Linked DNA regions of Macaca fascicularis. The protein of the gene in region 1 interacts with the protein of each later gene in a pairwise test. Links are inferred from orthologs where the notes say so. Each region holds a gene or a part of one and is shown on either strand. Other genes may lie near its edges.

Region 1 (4,907 bases):
ATGTGGTTTTAGCAAAAGCATTAATTATAGAATGTGATGTTAAGATCTATGAAGACTCTTCTGGAGTTCTTTTTGTTTTTTGAGATAGGCTCTCACTCTGTCGCCCAGGTGTGATCACAGCTCACTGCAGCCTCCACCTCCTGGGCTCAAGTGATCCTCCCACCTCAACCTCCTGAATAACTGAGACTACAGGTGTATGCTAGCATGCCTGGGTAGTTTTTGTATTTTTAGTAGAAATGGGGTTTCACCATGTTGGCCAGGCTGGTCTCTTAACTCCTGAGCTCAAGTGATCTGCGTACCTCGGCCTCCCAAAGTGCTGGGACTACAGGTGTGAGCCACGGCACCTGGCCTCTTCTGGAGTTTTTAATCCTGAAACTTGAGATGCAGATTATACAAAAGGACTCAGTGAGAATTGAAAACCAAGTCTGGCCCTAAATCAATCCTAACAGGCTCTGAGTTTTCATATTTGTCTAGCAAATGCATTAATTGTCCAGAGTTTTGTTCTTAACTAAGTAGGAAATAACACCAGTCACACCAAAACAGTTAACGCCTTAGCTGGGTAAAATTCCAGCCTCTGGGATAATGTTCGCAGTGGGAAGATGGTGCAAGCACTGCAGAGCCAGTCTTGTTCCAAAGAGCACATGCAGTGCAGACGTGGGGAGTGGAGCTGTGCTGGCTGTCAGAGCAGCAAGCCCGAGTGAGAAAGGGAAAGGAGAATGAGATGGTGGGAAGGGAGGCAGCAGCAGGGTATTTGGGCACACTGGGACCCACTGAGGTGTCAGGTCTGATTGGAAGACCTGCATTTTGATCCTGGTTAGACACCAGCTTGGCCATATGACTTTGGGCAAGACCCTTTTGTAACCTTCCTTAGCTTTTTTACCCTTTTAAAAATGAGTAGCCAGGCACAATAGCTCACACCTGTAATCCCAGCACTTTGGGAAGCTGAGACAGGAGGATCACTTAAGCCCAGGAGTTTGAGACCAGCCCTGGGCAACGAAGCGTGGACTCCTCTCTACACAAAATAAAAATTTAAAAAATTAGCCAGGCATGGTGATGTACACCTGTACCAGCTACTTGGGAGGCTGAGGTGGAAGGAATACTTGAGCCCAGGAGGTTGAGGCTGCAGAGAGCTATGATCATCCCACTGCACTCCAGCCTGGGTGACAGAGCAAGACCCTGTCTCTAAAAAAAAAAGGATGATTAGATATCCTTTTATAGTCATGCATTGTGTAACGATGGGAGATACATTCTGAGACTTGCATCACTAGGCAATTTCATCATTGTGCAAACACCATAGAGTGTACTTACATAAACCTAGATGGTATAGCCTACTGCACACCTAGGCTTTGTGGTATGGCCTGTTGCTCCTAGGCTGCAAACCTGTACAACATGTTACTGTATTGGATACTGTAGGCAACACCATGGTATTTGTGTATCTAAACATACCTAAACATAGAAAAGGTATAGTAAAAATACAGTATTATAATCTTATGAGACCATCATCATATATGTGGTCGTTATTGACTGAGACATCATTAATGTGGTGCATGACTACACCAATCAGTCCGGAAACAAATTAAGAAGATAAGGAGAAAAGTCAGTGCTTTGAGGCTCTACAACACCTTGCTATGTCCATTTAGAGGCTGTTGCTGTAATTAATGAAGCTGTCTCCTCCCAGGCAAAGCCTTTGGCTGTGTTGGAGGGTACATCGCCAGCACGAGTTCTCTGATTGACACGGTACGGTCCTATGCTGCTGGCTTCATCTTCACCACCTCTCTGCCACCCATGCTGCTGGCTGGAGCCCTGGAGTCTGTGCGGATCCTGAAGAGCGCTGAGGGACGGGCGCTTCGCCGCCAGCACCAGCGCAACGTTAAGCTCATGAGACAGATGCTAATGGATGCCGGCCTCCCTGTTGTCCACTGCCCCAGCCACATCATCCCTGTGCGGGTAATGGCGTGTCTCTGATTGGACTTGCTGTGGGCTGTGCCTCTACACATGATGTACGGATGTTCTGCTTCATACCTTCCTGAAGTTGGGCTTGAGCAGGGTGACTGCCAGGGAGGGATTGTAGCCAGCCACCCTCTGTCATGTTTCCGCCATTGGCTGACTTCACCATGAGAAGAAAGCCTTTGAACCCAGCAGGCTGGGGCAGAAGTTCCCTCTCCAGAGCACTGACCTTAACAGGGTAAACACAGAGCTTGTATCTGGAAAGCTCCAGAAGCCTGAGATTGGCCAGCTTTGAAGTATGGCTTTCTACTTAGTAAATTTCAAAATAGGTTTTGCCCTTCCCACTACAAATGGTAGCACTGTTGATGTCACAGTTGAATTAGTGTAATGAATACAGCTAGTATAACCGAATCTAGATTATACATCCTGGGTATGAGAGTCTGCTGGTACGAATGGAACCAGTGTTTTCTCATTAAAAATGTATTTCTTTTTAATAAGGTTTTGGTTCTCTGGTCTTCACAAAACAACACTGGCTCCTTTTAAATGACAGGTGTTTGGGCAGCGCTTTCCCTCTGCCCCAAGCTTGCATATGTTGCTACAGTCTGGTCTTGAGCCTGAGTGTTGTGGGGACTGTGTTCGTTAGAATCTCTGCTAAGAGGTAGTCCTTCCTGTTGTGACCTTACCTTCTGCTCTCATTGAACTTAGGTTGCAGATGCTGCTAAAAACACGGAAGTCTGTGATGAACTAATGAGCAGACATAACATCTATGTGCAAGCAATCAATTACCCTACCGTGCCCCGGGGAGAAGAGCTCCTACGGATCGCCCCTACCCCTCACCACACACCCCAGATGATGAACTACTTCCTTGGTGAGTACCTTTGCAGTGTTTATAATTGAAGCCCTTCAGAGGCATTCAGATTTGTTTCTTCTTCTTTTTTTAGGTTTTTTTTTTTTTTTTTTTGAGATGGAGTCTCACTCTTTTGCCCAGGCTGGAGTGCAGTGGCGTGATCTTGGCTCACTGCAAGCTCCGCCTTCCGGGTTCACGCCATTCTCCTGCCTCAGCCTCCTGAGTAGCTAGGAATACAGGCACCTGCCACCACGCCTGGCTAATTTTTTGTATTTTTGATAGAGACGGGGTTTCGTCATGTTAGCCAGGATGGTCTCGATCTCCTGACCTCGTGATTCGCCCGCCTCGGCCTCCCAAAGTGCTGGGATTACAGCTGTGAGCCACGGTGCCTGTTTCTTCTTTTTCCCAGTAACTAAGCATGCCCTCAAATGGTTCAAAACCCTAAACGATATTTATTGTCTGATTCACATCAAGAGGGTGGAGCGTCATTTTGGGAGCTCTGAGGGAGCCTGGGAGTCTGCTCAGTGTTCCCAGTGCCCCCTTGTCTACATGGCTGAAGGATACACGGTAATGACTTGCAGGGAGAAGAGGCCTCTGAAGGCTTGAGTCCCTGCTGGTCCCCCAGAGTCCAGCTCACATTTGTCTTCGCCACTGCCCTCTACTCCATGACGTTGTATAATCCTTGAATAACCCCACACGTAATCCCCTCTGATAAGAGGAATTGCTCAACATTTTCAACTGCCCCGTGCTTCTATACTGCCCCACCCATGTCCAACCTAAAGGCAGAGACAGAAGGGGGCTGTTAGCCACAGGTCACCTCTGCCTCAAAGGTACATTGCCCTCCCAAGCCCACCCAGCATGGCTCAGCTTCCTCATGGGCTCTCTGTTCTATTGGAAATGCTGGGTTTAAACTGTCATGTGGCAGTGTTGGAGCAGCTTCTTCCCTACAGGTCTGTGAAATCAAGCCCAACTCGGGGTTTTATTTTTCTCTTTATTTATTTTTATGAAAGCCTTAAAATTTTTATAAAAGCCTTATCTCAATAGAGAGATAACTCACATACCATAAAATTCACCCTTAAAAGTATCCAAGTCCATGATTTTTAAATACACTCCCAGTGTTATGCAACCATCTCTTCTATCTGATTCTAGAACATTTTCATCGCCTCAGAAGCCGGTGCCCATTAGGAGTCACTCCTCTTTTCCCCATCCCCAGCCCCTGTCAACCACGGGTCTTTCTGTCTCTGTGGATTTGCCTTTTCTGGACCTTGTGTCTAAGTGGAAGCATACGGCGTGTGCTCCTTTGTGTCTGCCTTCTTCCAGCATCATGTCTGCAAAGCTCATCCATGCTGTAGCATTCATCAGCACTTCATTTCTTTCTGTTATCAAATAACCTTCCATTGTACAGATTTACCACATTTTGTTTATCCATCTATTGGTGGACATTTGGTTGTTTCTCTTGTTAACTATTATGACTAATGCTGCTATGAACATTTGTGTATGAGTGTTTATGTGGACATATGTATTCATTTCTTTTGTGTATATTACTCCCTTTAATATTTAAAAACTGTTTCTCCTCAGAGAATCTGCTGGTCACGTGGAAGCAAGTGGGGCTGGAACTGAAGCCGCATTCCTCAGCTGAGTGCAACTTCTGCAGGAGGCCACTGCATTTTGAAGTGATGAGTGAAAGAGAGAAGTCCTATTTCTCAGGCTTGAGCAAGTTGGTATCTGCTCAGGCCTGAGCATGACCTCAGTTATTCCACTTAACCCCAGGCCATTATCATATCCAGATAGTCTTCAGAGTTGTCTTTATATGTGAATTAAGTTATATTAAATTTTAATCTATAGTAAAAACATAGTCCTGGAAATAAATTCTTGTTTAAGTGGTGGCTCTTTCTGCTATTGGCTACTGAATAAAATTCTTCATTGACTGGACACAGTGGCTCACACCTGTAATCACAATACTTGGGAGGCCAAAGCAAGAAGATCACTTGAGGCCAGAGTTTGAAGCTGCAGTGAGCCATGATTGCTCCACTGCACTCCAGCCTGGGTGACAGAGCAAGACTGCCTCTAAAATAAAAAATAATAATTGTCATCATCCCTTTAAGTTCAGTCT
Region 2 (5,400 bases), on another chromosome or scaffold:
TCTGACTAGTAACATTTAATACTGCATTCCTTCGCTTATTTAAATATAATTTTACTATCAAGCACTATTACTGAGTTGTTTAGTATAGCTGTGTTTGTCCATATATCCTTAACACTAAGCATAGTGACTGGCACACACACATAGAGGTGTTCAATAAATGATTCCTGAATACATGAAAGGTTACCCACTAGATTTTCCTTTTCTTTCTTTTTTTTTTTTTTTGAGATGGAGCCTCGCTCTGTTGCCCAGGCTGGAGTTCAGCGGCGCGATCGCGGCTCACTGCAACCTCCGCCTCCCGGCTTCAAGTGATTCTTCTGCCTCAGTCTCCCGAGTAGCTGGGACTATACGCATGTGCCACCATGCCCGGCTAATTTTTTGTATTTTTAGTAGAGACGGGGTTCCACCGTGTTAGCCAGGATGGCCTCCATCTCCTGACCTCGTGATCTGCCCGCCTCGGCCTCCCAAAGTGCTGGGATTACAGGTGTGAGCCTCCACGCCCAGCCTACCCACTGGATTTTCTTATGGTGGACTTACTATCATTCGACTTGAAACTTTACTGAATAGTATGGAGACAAATGATAGTCTTGTTAGGTAATTGCTACACAAACGGATTAATAGCTAAATAAAAAGCCAGAAGGTCTTCCAATCTAAAACAGGATGCATTTGATATATTTTTTCTTAAAAGGAAGAGGTAAATAAGCAAGAATTTTTTTTACTATGAATATACCAGAATGTTATTGTTGTGTGAAAATTTATTTTTGAGCCATTAAACATTTTTGAAAAATGAAAGATGAAGTGTCCCACAAAATCTCATAATTCCCTTTACTGTGAATTCTGAGTGTATATGTGTCTTTTCATATGGCATTTCTTTTCTTTCTTTGTTCTATTTCTAGTTTTACTGCTCAATGTCCCATTTGTAATCTTTGAAAGCTTCTAATATTCCATTTGCTAGTTTCTAATGTCCACTGACATTTGTTCATTATTCACCCCAAGACAGATGAAATCCTCAAGAATAACAGCTACAGTTCAAAATGGATCAGCAAATGCTTTTCCAAACCACTTTTAATCATCCTATAAGGAGTGGACTTGCAATAATTGAATCTTGACAATTCTTTGACATCTTTTAGAGCAATCTCTTAACTAGGATTTAAGCAAAAGATACTGGTACACCATCAAGTAACATTTTCCTTTCTTCTCCTTTATCCACCATCATAATTGACAACCATTTATGGCCTTTATATACATATAAACAAAAATATTTTGAGGCCTAATAGTGTTTGGAACAGTGCAATATATGAAATGTTTGCCATTTGTTAAGTGAAAAGGTGAGAGAATTGTAGTTTGGACTGAATAGTGAATGAAGGACATTTAGCTAAAATGAAATGGTAAGAGATAATTTTTAGGTTAACAATTATATTTGGTTTTTCATATGCCAGTAAATTTTCTCAACACTAACTCAACATAGATCTCATTATTCACTGAATGTCAGGTGGTAACTATCAGAACAGGTTTCTTACGATTTATGAGTTATTGTTCTAGTGCACAGCCATGGAAATGTCATTGAAAGAATATCAATTCAGAAATGCAAAATCATGGTTGATACTTTCAGATCTGAAACCAACCCTCGGAGTGTGGGTAGTTTTATTCCCTTATTTCAAAAATGTCAAAACCCAAATCGAGGGGGCATGGGGCCTATTCAGGGTCACAAAGTCCAGTGAATTAATTAGCAGCTGAACCTATGTCAACTGCATCACACTCCTATGCCAGGGTGCTCCTCATTTTACTGCCTCGCAATAATATAGGTAAGGTATTGCTCATACTTTATGAAATTAGCTCTCTGAAAGCCTTTACTATTTGCATATATTCAAAGATACTGCAAACAAACCAGTTACACCACCAGGCAAAAAGCCATTTTTTTTTTTTTTTTTTTTTCCATGAGATACTGGTCTTAAACCTTACTGTGAGCAGACGATGAGAGCCAAACTGAATTGTGATCTTGAGGCCTATATAAAACTGCTCTTGCCTACTAGCTGGTTATGGACATAAAGGTTGATATAAAAATTTAAAATCCAGATTTCGTGTTTCCATCCACTGAGGATGAATGAAGACACTAAATGGAGTCTTTCAAAGGTTGACTTTAGTAAGAGAGTTGATAAATAAAACATTACAGTGTACTTCTAACTTCCATATTTAATAAGTGGCATTTATGTAATGTGCCTATACAAATATTGTAAGGGATTTTTTTTTCCTACTTTGCCATTCCTCCAAAGCGAAAGGTGTAAAAGGTTATGGAATAGCACACAGGGACATATCATTGAAGAATGTGAAGAAGAGATTTTTATGGAATAATTTTAATGGGGTATCTTCCTAAGAAAAAGGAATTTATTTTCCTCTATTTTGGTGTCCACAATCTTTCACTTTGAAGGCAAGTCAGCAACATAAGGTAACACAGCAAATTCTGGAAATTACAAAATTTACGATGGCAAAATGCTTTACTGGGGTGCTCTGCAGTGGAATGGTCTCCATCAGCTAAGAACATTTCCCAAACTGCTTTAAAACACATTTCAATGGCAAATTTTACAGTTTGCTATTAGTAGGCTGTTTAAAAGTATACAGAATTTTGTGTGAATACCGCTTATACTGATACAGTCAAGAAATATCTTTTTATGTTAGGAGTAATATGTGTTGGTAGGTACAACAGAACTTATTAAAAGTCAAACCACCTTAAAGATGGACCTGTAAACCTTGCTTTACCAGGTCACATTCTCAAATAGCCAAAGAAAACTCTCCGAAGTGATTCCTGAAATCTGTACTTCTGTCACACTCTTCCTCTTTCCCTAGTAGAGTCCCCTCCACCAGACCTTACCTTCCTAAAATCCGACAGATCTTTTAAACCTATACACTTCTAACCTGCCCAAATTTCTAACGCCATCTCTCTGTAAATATTCTGCCTCAAGTTTCTACACTACAGGACGTTGAACACCAAAAGGGGGTTTACTCCCCCTTATTTCTTTGGCATTTCCTCTTTTATCTCCGCCCGTTTCTCCATCGGTCCCCCTTCCCTTATCCTTGACCCTCTTGGCCCACAGCACTTCTACTTTGCCTTCTCTTCCAAATCACACCTCAGCTTCCTACAGCACACTAAGGTGTCCTGGCTGGGAGATAAATTATGTGGTATTTTTTTTCCCTTCAAACTCCTGCTTCGTGAGTACCTGCAATTCTTTTGCCTGGGGTCCCCCATCCTTTACAGGTGGGAGAGGTAGGGAAGGCCCTCTCTGCTTCAGTCCATCTTGCACACTCGGGGCTAATACGGCAGGGCGGGGCGGGGCGAGCTTGGCCTTTACTGCGCCACGGCAGGTGGGGGGTGGGGCAGTGGCGAACCGCGCCCAGCCCGATCTCGCACGGGCTGAAGAGAGGCAGCGAAGGAGATGGGGCCGCCCCCGCACCCCGGGACGGGAACTCACCTTCTCTGAGGCAAGGGCGGGTGTCTACTTTAAAACTACTGCCCCCCCTCCCCGCCGCCGCCATAGTGGAGCAGCCAAAGCCGCCGCCGCCGCCGTCGCCACAGCCACCGGCAGGCGGGCAGGCAGGGGCGGAGGTGGCGGAGGAGGCAGGAACAATTACTGCCGCCGCCGCCGCCGCCGCCGCCTCGCAGGCGGTGTAGGAGGAGGAGGAGGCGGCAGAGACGGTAGCTTCCTGAGGGGAAGACTCCGCCGCCAGCGGGGTGACTGTGCTCGGCACCGCGGCCATCGCAGCGAGGCGCGCGGACAATTGCACTTGCGTCTCGATTCCGTTAAGCTCCTTTAGCCCCGCCTTCCGTTAGCCCCACCCCCTTTGTCCCTCTTTTCAACGCTTCAGCTGGAGCCTCGTTCTCGCTCCTCAGTCCACCAATCAGAGAGCTTTAGAGCCGCCGGCCGTTTCCCCCGCCCCGACTGCCTTGCGTCACCCCACCTCCCTTTGGAGGGGAAGCAATGACGGCCAAGGGCAAAGGGCAAAAAGCGCGGGATGTAAAAGCACGTGGGCTTCACACAGTGAGGCTTCTTTGGAGAGCTAATGTAAAACCAATTTAAGAGTAAAAAATATCTGGAAACCTATTGATTCTACGTCCAAAATATCTCTGCAATATATCTTCACCTGGCTTTTTTTTCTTTTTATTTTCTTTCTTTTTTCTTTTTCTTTTCTTTTCTTTTTTTTTTTTTTTTTGAGGCAGAGTCTTGCTCTGTAGCCCAGGCTGTAGTGCAGTGGTGCGACCTCACTCACTGCTACCTCTGCCTCCCGGGTCCCGGTTCAAGCAATTTTGCCTCAGTCTCCCGAGTAGCTGGGATTACGGGCATGTGCCACCATGCCCAGCTAATTTTTGTATTTTTAGTAGAGATGGGGTTTCACTATGTTGGCCAAGCTAGTTTTGAATTCCTGACCTCGTGATCCACCTGCCTTGGCCTCCCAAAGTGCTGGGGATTACAGGCATGAGCCACCACGCCCAGCCCCTGGCTTTCTTAAAGCCCTTAGTACAGAGAATAGAACAGAATCTTTCGTCCTGACATTGTTTTCGTGGCCTCTAAAAGGACTGCTTATCTATCGATCTGCCCATCTTAATTACAATAAATTCCTGTGAATTCAGCACCCAATAGAAGAACTGGAATATTACTGATATTTTAAATTACATCTTGTCCCCCAACCTCCCCTCTCAAAGAAACCAATATCCTGATTTATATTTCTTATTTCTTTGCATTTTAATATGTATTCTTGTCACATAGATATGTGCCTAAATAGTGTTGTTTAGTTTTGATTATTTCCACAAACATTTATATGTTTTTCTAGGTAGCATTCAGGGACTTGTTTCTGTTTTTTTTTTCCCTCAACCAATACTCCCACCTCAGCCTCTGGAGTAGCTGGGATTACAGGAAGGAGCCACCATGCTTGGCCTGGAACTTGTTTCTTTCACGCGCAACATTCTGTTTCTAAGATTTGTCTGTGTTGTTGCTTGTAGCTGTAGTTATTCACTGTCGATGCTGTAGAATGTTTCACCCTTTTCCTTATTGATGGGCACACCTCCTGGTGCATTTGTGCAAGTCTCCCTTAAGTATTTTCTCCTTTCCAGTCTTAATCCATTGCTGCATTTCAAGTACTCATGATGTATGGTCAGCAGTATGGCATCTACCCCACTGGTCTTCTTTCCTCTGATCTCAATCCCTCCAATCTATTACCATGTTGTCAGTCATCACTGGCTGTCCAGTGCTTATTGAACAAAGTCAAAAGACACAATTTTGCACTATTAGTATCCCCATTCACCTCTTTGACCTCATCTCTTTCCACTGTCCCCATCTCTCCCCTCTGCTTTTACTCTGATTTAGCAATCCCTAAGTCTTCTTAGATTCCTGAGAAGACCATGTTATTTCA
Region 3 (4,907 bases), on another chromosome or scaffold:
GGGGTATTTTAGGGGGTAGAATTCTTACAATTTGATTACTTATGAGGCAGGATAGGGAGTGGGGCTAAGGGAGAAGGAGGAGTCAAGGCTGATGTCTCACTTTCTTTGGTAACTAAGTAAGGTTATTGTTCCATGAGATTGAAAACAGCGTAGAAGGAACAGGCTTTGAAGGCAAAACTGTGTGCTTAGTTTTGAACGTGTTAGATTTTGGGTGATGTGGATCATCTAGGTGGGTAGATATGTAGGGTCTGAAGTTCAGAATAGAGGTGAATATACAGATTTAGGAATCTTCAGCTTTTAAATAGTTACTGAAATCATTAGAATAGATGAAGCTGCCTGGGGAAATGTATAAAGTAAGAGAGAAGAGGGCCTATAACAGAATCTTATCATAGAACTGATAAATTGAGGAATATCACCCTATATGGAATGATCAAAGGAAGAAGAGTCTGCAGTGGGAAAGGAGGATCCAAAAGAGGCCAAAAGAAGGTAAAACAAAAAGGTGGTGTCGTGGAAGCCAAAGAGAATAGTGTTTTAAGGAGGAGAGAGTCAGCAATGTCAGATACTGCAAAAGTTTAAGTACGATTAGGCCTAAATTATGTTCATGGGACTTGGTGACAGAGAGGTTGTTAGTGCATTTGGTGGAAACAGTTTCATTTGAATTGGAGGCCAAAGCCGTATTGCAAAAGATTGAGAAGTGAGGAAGTGATGGGAAGGGGAAAAGAAAGAGAGAGAGGAGCTATAGGTGAGGAGGGGGGATGGGAGAGCTTTCAGCATGTTTTAAGGCTGATGGTAGAAGAAGAAATTGAAGATACAGAAAAGCAAGAATTATGACTATAGGGAGATGCCAAGAAAGTAGGAAGCACTGTGACTCCAAGCACAGATTCTGGAATGAGCCTTATTGAAGATGCATGAGCACATCCTTCATTGTAATCAGAAGGCAGAGGGGAAGTACAGATGTGGACAAAGTTGTTAGTTTTTTTTTTTCTTTTTCTTTTTTCTTTTTCTTTTTTTTTTTTGAGATGGAGTCTCACTCTGTTGCTCAGGCTGGAGCACAGTTGCATGACCGTGGCTCACTGCAACCTTCACCTCCTGGGTTCAAGTGATTCTCAGCCTCTGGATTATCTTAATGGACTTTCTACATGGCTTTCTTCCACATGTTTGGTGGCCTCTAAGAAAAGGGGCTCAAATACATAGATGGAAGAGGAGGAGGTTGCTCAAATGTACCACCTGAAAGAAAATTTTTTACAACCACCCCTCCCCTTACTTTTCAGCCAGATTAGTTCATCAGAATCTCTGGGTATGAGACCCTGTGGTATTGATAGTTTTTAAGAGTTCATCAGGTGACTCTAATGTGCAGTCATCCTGGAGAACCATTTTATTAAGTAAAGAATATGAAGGAAAATAGGGAAATAATTCTTGAAAGGGAAGTTGTGTACTACTGATATACTTCTCCTATTTAAGTTTTTTATATGGATATTTACAGATTAATTCAACAAAGATTTTAAGCATTTTCTGCTAAACTCACTGCTCATTCGCTTATAACACTAAGTTAAACATGGTCCCTACCCTCATGTAGTTTCTAGTGCAATGAAAGAGACAAACAATCTCTAAGTGGTATGAGCTGTAATAGGGCAAGTCCAGGGCTATGAGAATATATAGGCCAGGTGTGGTGGCTCACGCCTGTAATCCCAGCACTGTGGGAGGCGGGAGTGGGAACGTCACTTGAGGCCAGGAGTTCAAGACCAGCCTGGGCAAAAAAAGCGAGACCCCTCTCTGAAAAAAAAAAAAATTAGCTGGGTGTGGTGGTACACTCCTGTAGTCCCAGCTACTTGGGCGGCTGAGGCGGGAGGATCACCTGAGCCCAGGAGTTCAAGATTGCAGTGACCTATGATTGCATCATTGCACTCCAGCCTGGGTGACAGAAAGAGACCCTGTCTCTACATGATGATAATAATAAGTTAAAAAAAAGGGTGGAGGGGAGAGAGAGAGAACATATAGTAGAAGGAGCACTTCTGGTGTGGGTTGAAGAAGTATTATCAATCAAGTGAGTCGCATTTAAATTTTTTACCTTTCTTGTTATAGATGTCAACACAACACCCCAGTCTCTTTTTAGATAACCTAATTCATGGGATTTTAAAAAATCATCTTTTTTCTTTCTCTTTAAGGTGACTCATATTCTTAATGTTGCATATGGAGTTGAAAATGCTTTCCTCAGTGACTTTACATATAAGAGCATTTCTATATTGGATCTGCCTGAAACCAACATCCTGTCTTATTTTCCAGAATGTTTTGAATTTATTGAAGAAGCAAAAAGAAAGGTGAGTTTTGTTTTGATCCATAGTTCTTCAGAAGCAGAAATTTGAAAGTATGGATCCATTACCCAATCTTTATTGTTTTTATAATGAATCTCTAAAAAACCATTATGAAATTTCCCTTCTAACAATGTTTCATTATTTCCTACAATTATTTGGTTAATTGCTCTTTTTTCAATAAGATACTTAGTTTTAACATTAATTCAGTTTCTCATTTTCCTATGCCTTACTGAGAAATGTTCAGAAATAAAAATCCTCTACTTACCGAGTTTTCGTCTGTAAACATGTAGCTAGATTTCCTTTGAGGGTTTATAGCCGCCTGACCTCTGACCAGTCCGCAAGATATTCAGGGGGACTATAAAACAGAGACTGCTCTAGACTTGTTAGTGTATTTATGATGATTAACATGCATTTCATTTTAATGAATGAGATAGTTATTGTGAAACTGCATTTTTAGCAGTAAAATTTTAAGGCACTCTAAGGACTAAATGTGTATTGCTTTACTTAGATTGTATGAAAATGCTGATCAGAAGCTGTCTGTTGGTTTTCTGAAGTTAGAAGACCAATGGCCAATGCCATATGGTACTTCAATCTTGTTATTGGATTCAAGTCAACATTCTGACAGGCAAAGTTTCTAGGTTGGCTGTTATCAATAATTATTCCTTGAAATAGCATCATTTTTAGTCAGCAAATAATTCTCACAGATTTTACGTAAGATACGTAGGTGGGAAAGTAGAAGCATTTACAGAGAGAAATAACTCTTCTGGAACACCTAACAATGACAAGATTACAATCAGGTTTAATTGAACTCTGGCCTACCTTCTCTCCCTTCTACCTTCTCTCCTTCCCATTTTCTCTCCCTCTCTCCCTTCTTTCCTTTCATTTGGTAATATTTATTGAATGCCTTAGGTGCCTAGCACTGTTCTACTTACCTTTCCACTAGACTACCTGGAAAATATAAAACTATTCCATTCTACTGTTCATCAACTTTAATAGCAGATACAGTCATGCGCTGCATAATGATGTTTGGACTGCATATATGATGGTGGTTCCATAAGATTATAATAATATATTTTTACCATACCTTTTCTATGTTTAGGTATGTTTAGATACACAAATACATACCATTGTGTTACAGTTGCCTACAAGTTAGTACAGTAACATGCTGAACAGGTCTGTAGCCTTGGAGCAATAGGCCATACCATTCTAGTTTGTGTGGGTCCACTCTGTGATGTTTACAGCACAAACAAACTGCCTAACAACACATTTCTCAGAATGCATCACCACTGTTAAATGATGCATGACTGTATTTGAATGGAAGCAAAGGAAGAGGGTTTTTGTTTGTTTGTTTTTTGTGGTTTTTCTTTTTTTTGAGACGGAGTCTCGCTCTGTCATGAGGCTGGAGTATGGTGGCATGATCTCGGCACACTGCAAACTCCAGCTCACTGCAACCTCCACTTCCCGGGTTCAAGTGATTCTCCTGCCTCAGCCTGCCAAGTAGCTGGGACTGCAGGTGCACACCACCACACCTGGCTAATTTTTTGTATTTTAGTAGAGACGGGGTTTCACTGTATTGCCCAGGCTGGTCTCGAACTCCTGAGCTCAGGCAGACTGCCCGCCAGGGCCTCCCAAAGTGCTAGGATTACAGGCGTGAGCCACCGCACGTGGCCAAGGAAGAGGTCTTCTAATTCAAAGCCTAATATTGGCCATTCTGTTTTCTTGTGAAAAAATTTACAGGCTCTGGATTGTAACATTCCAGTGTGTGAGTTAATAGTTTTAAAAATAAAAATGATATTTCTGTATTAGCTCCTTCTCTAAGGAGATGTAGAATATGCCAGAGATGGGAAAGTGTAGATGTCATCCATATTCATATTAACATTAGAAGAGATGTAAATATTGCAAGTAAAAATTAGACAGGGTAATACTATCTAGAAAGAAAAGCAAGAGATTGAATATTCTAATAAGTGTGGAATTTTAAATAAATTTAAAAATAAAGTTTGCCTTAATTTGGGCCAGTAAATTAGAGTGGATTTTAGCTTGGGTTTCCTAAAAACAAAGCTTGAGATGAGGATTTAGAGCTGATGCTTAATTTGAGAGGTACAATCTGTAGGCAGTGAGAGTGGCAAGAAAGGAAAGTGATTCAAGGTGGGACGAGAAGGAATACAAAGTGATGCATTTACCCTGCTGGGCTCATTGCACAGTGAGCTGACTGTTGGCTATTCAGCAGGTATAGCTACTCTACCACCCAAAATATCTCTGGACAGGCAGTACCAAGAAACTGTACCTCAACCCAGCCTGGGAGGGAGGAAGGAGAGAGAATTTATCTGCCTGGCTTCCTGTCAGCTTCTGTTTCCCATTGGCCAAAGTTTGCCAGTGGGGATATAACCAACCCCACAATTCTGGGTTATAACATTCCACTCCTTCAGCGGCCATCTCAAAGCCAAATCTAACACCCTGTAATACAACTTTTCAACCAAGTTGAAAAATAGAAAATCCAGGACTCAGAGTACGCCTGTCTATGCTGTGGACACCATTGAAGAAGAGCTCCTTCTTTGACAGGCAAAAGTGAATGGACCTAAGGGGAGAGTAGTCAGT

The links.
Region 2: the proteins of ALAS1 (region 1) and ZMAT1 interact in a two-hybrid assay, tested with the Homo sapiens proteins (2 studies listed by BioGRID). The two-hybrid records come from large-scale screens. The link is inferred for Macaca fascicularis from reciprocal best matches to the Homo sapiens genes ALAS1 and ZMAT1.
Region 3: the proteins of ALAS1 (region 1) and DUSP19 interact in a two-hybrid assay, tested with the Homo sapiens proteins (3 studies listed by BioGRID and IntAct). The two-hybrid records come from large-scale screens. The link is inferred for Macaca fascicularis from reciprocal best matches to the Homo sapiens genes ALAS1 and DUSP19.

The regions. Positions count from the first base shown.
Region 1 is NC_088376.1:115,284,567-115,289,473, forward strand, and holds the end of ALAS1 (5-aminolevulinate synthase, non-specific, mitochondrial), read left to right. Parts: intron 1-1,678; coding exon 1,679-1,947; intron 1,948-2,652; coding exon 2,653-2,815; intron 2,816-4,372; coding exon 4,373-4,533; 3' UTR 4,534-4,663; downstream 4,664-4,907.
Region 2 is NC_088395.1:108,507,878-108,513,277, forward strand, and holds the start of ZMAT1 (zinc finger matrin-type protein 1), read right to left. Parts: upstream 3,770-5,400; 5' UTR 3,751-3,769; coding exon 3,213-3,750; intron 1-3,212.
Region 3 is NC_088386.1:78,639,636-78,644,542, forward strand, and holds part of DUSP19 (dual specificity protein phosphatase 19), read left to right. Parts: intron 1-2,165; coding exon 2,166-2,318; intron 2,319-4,907.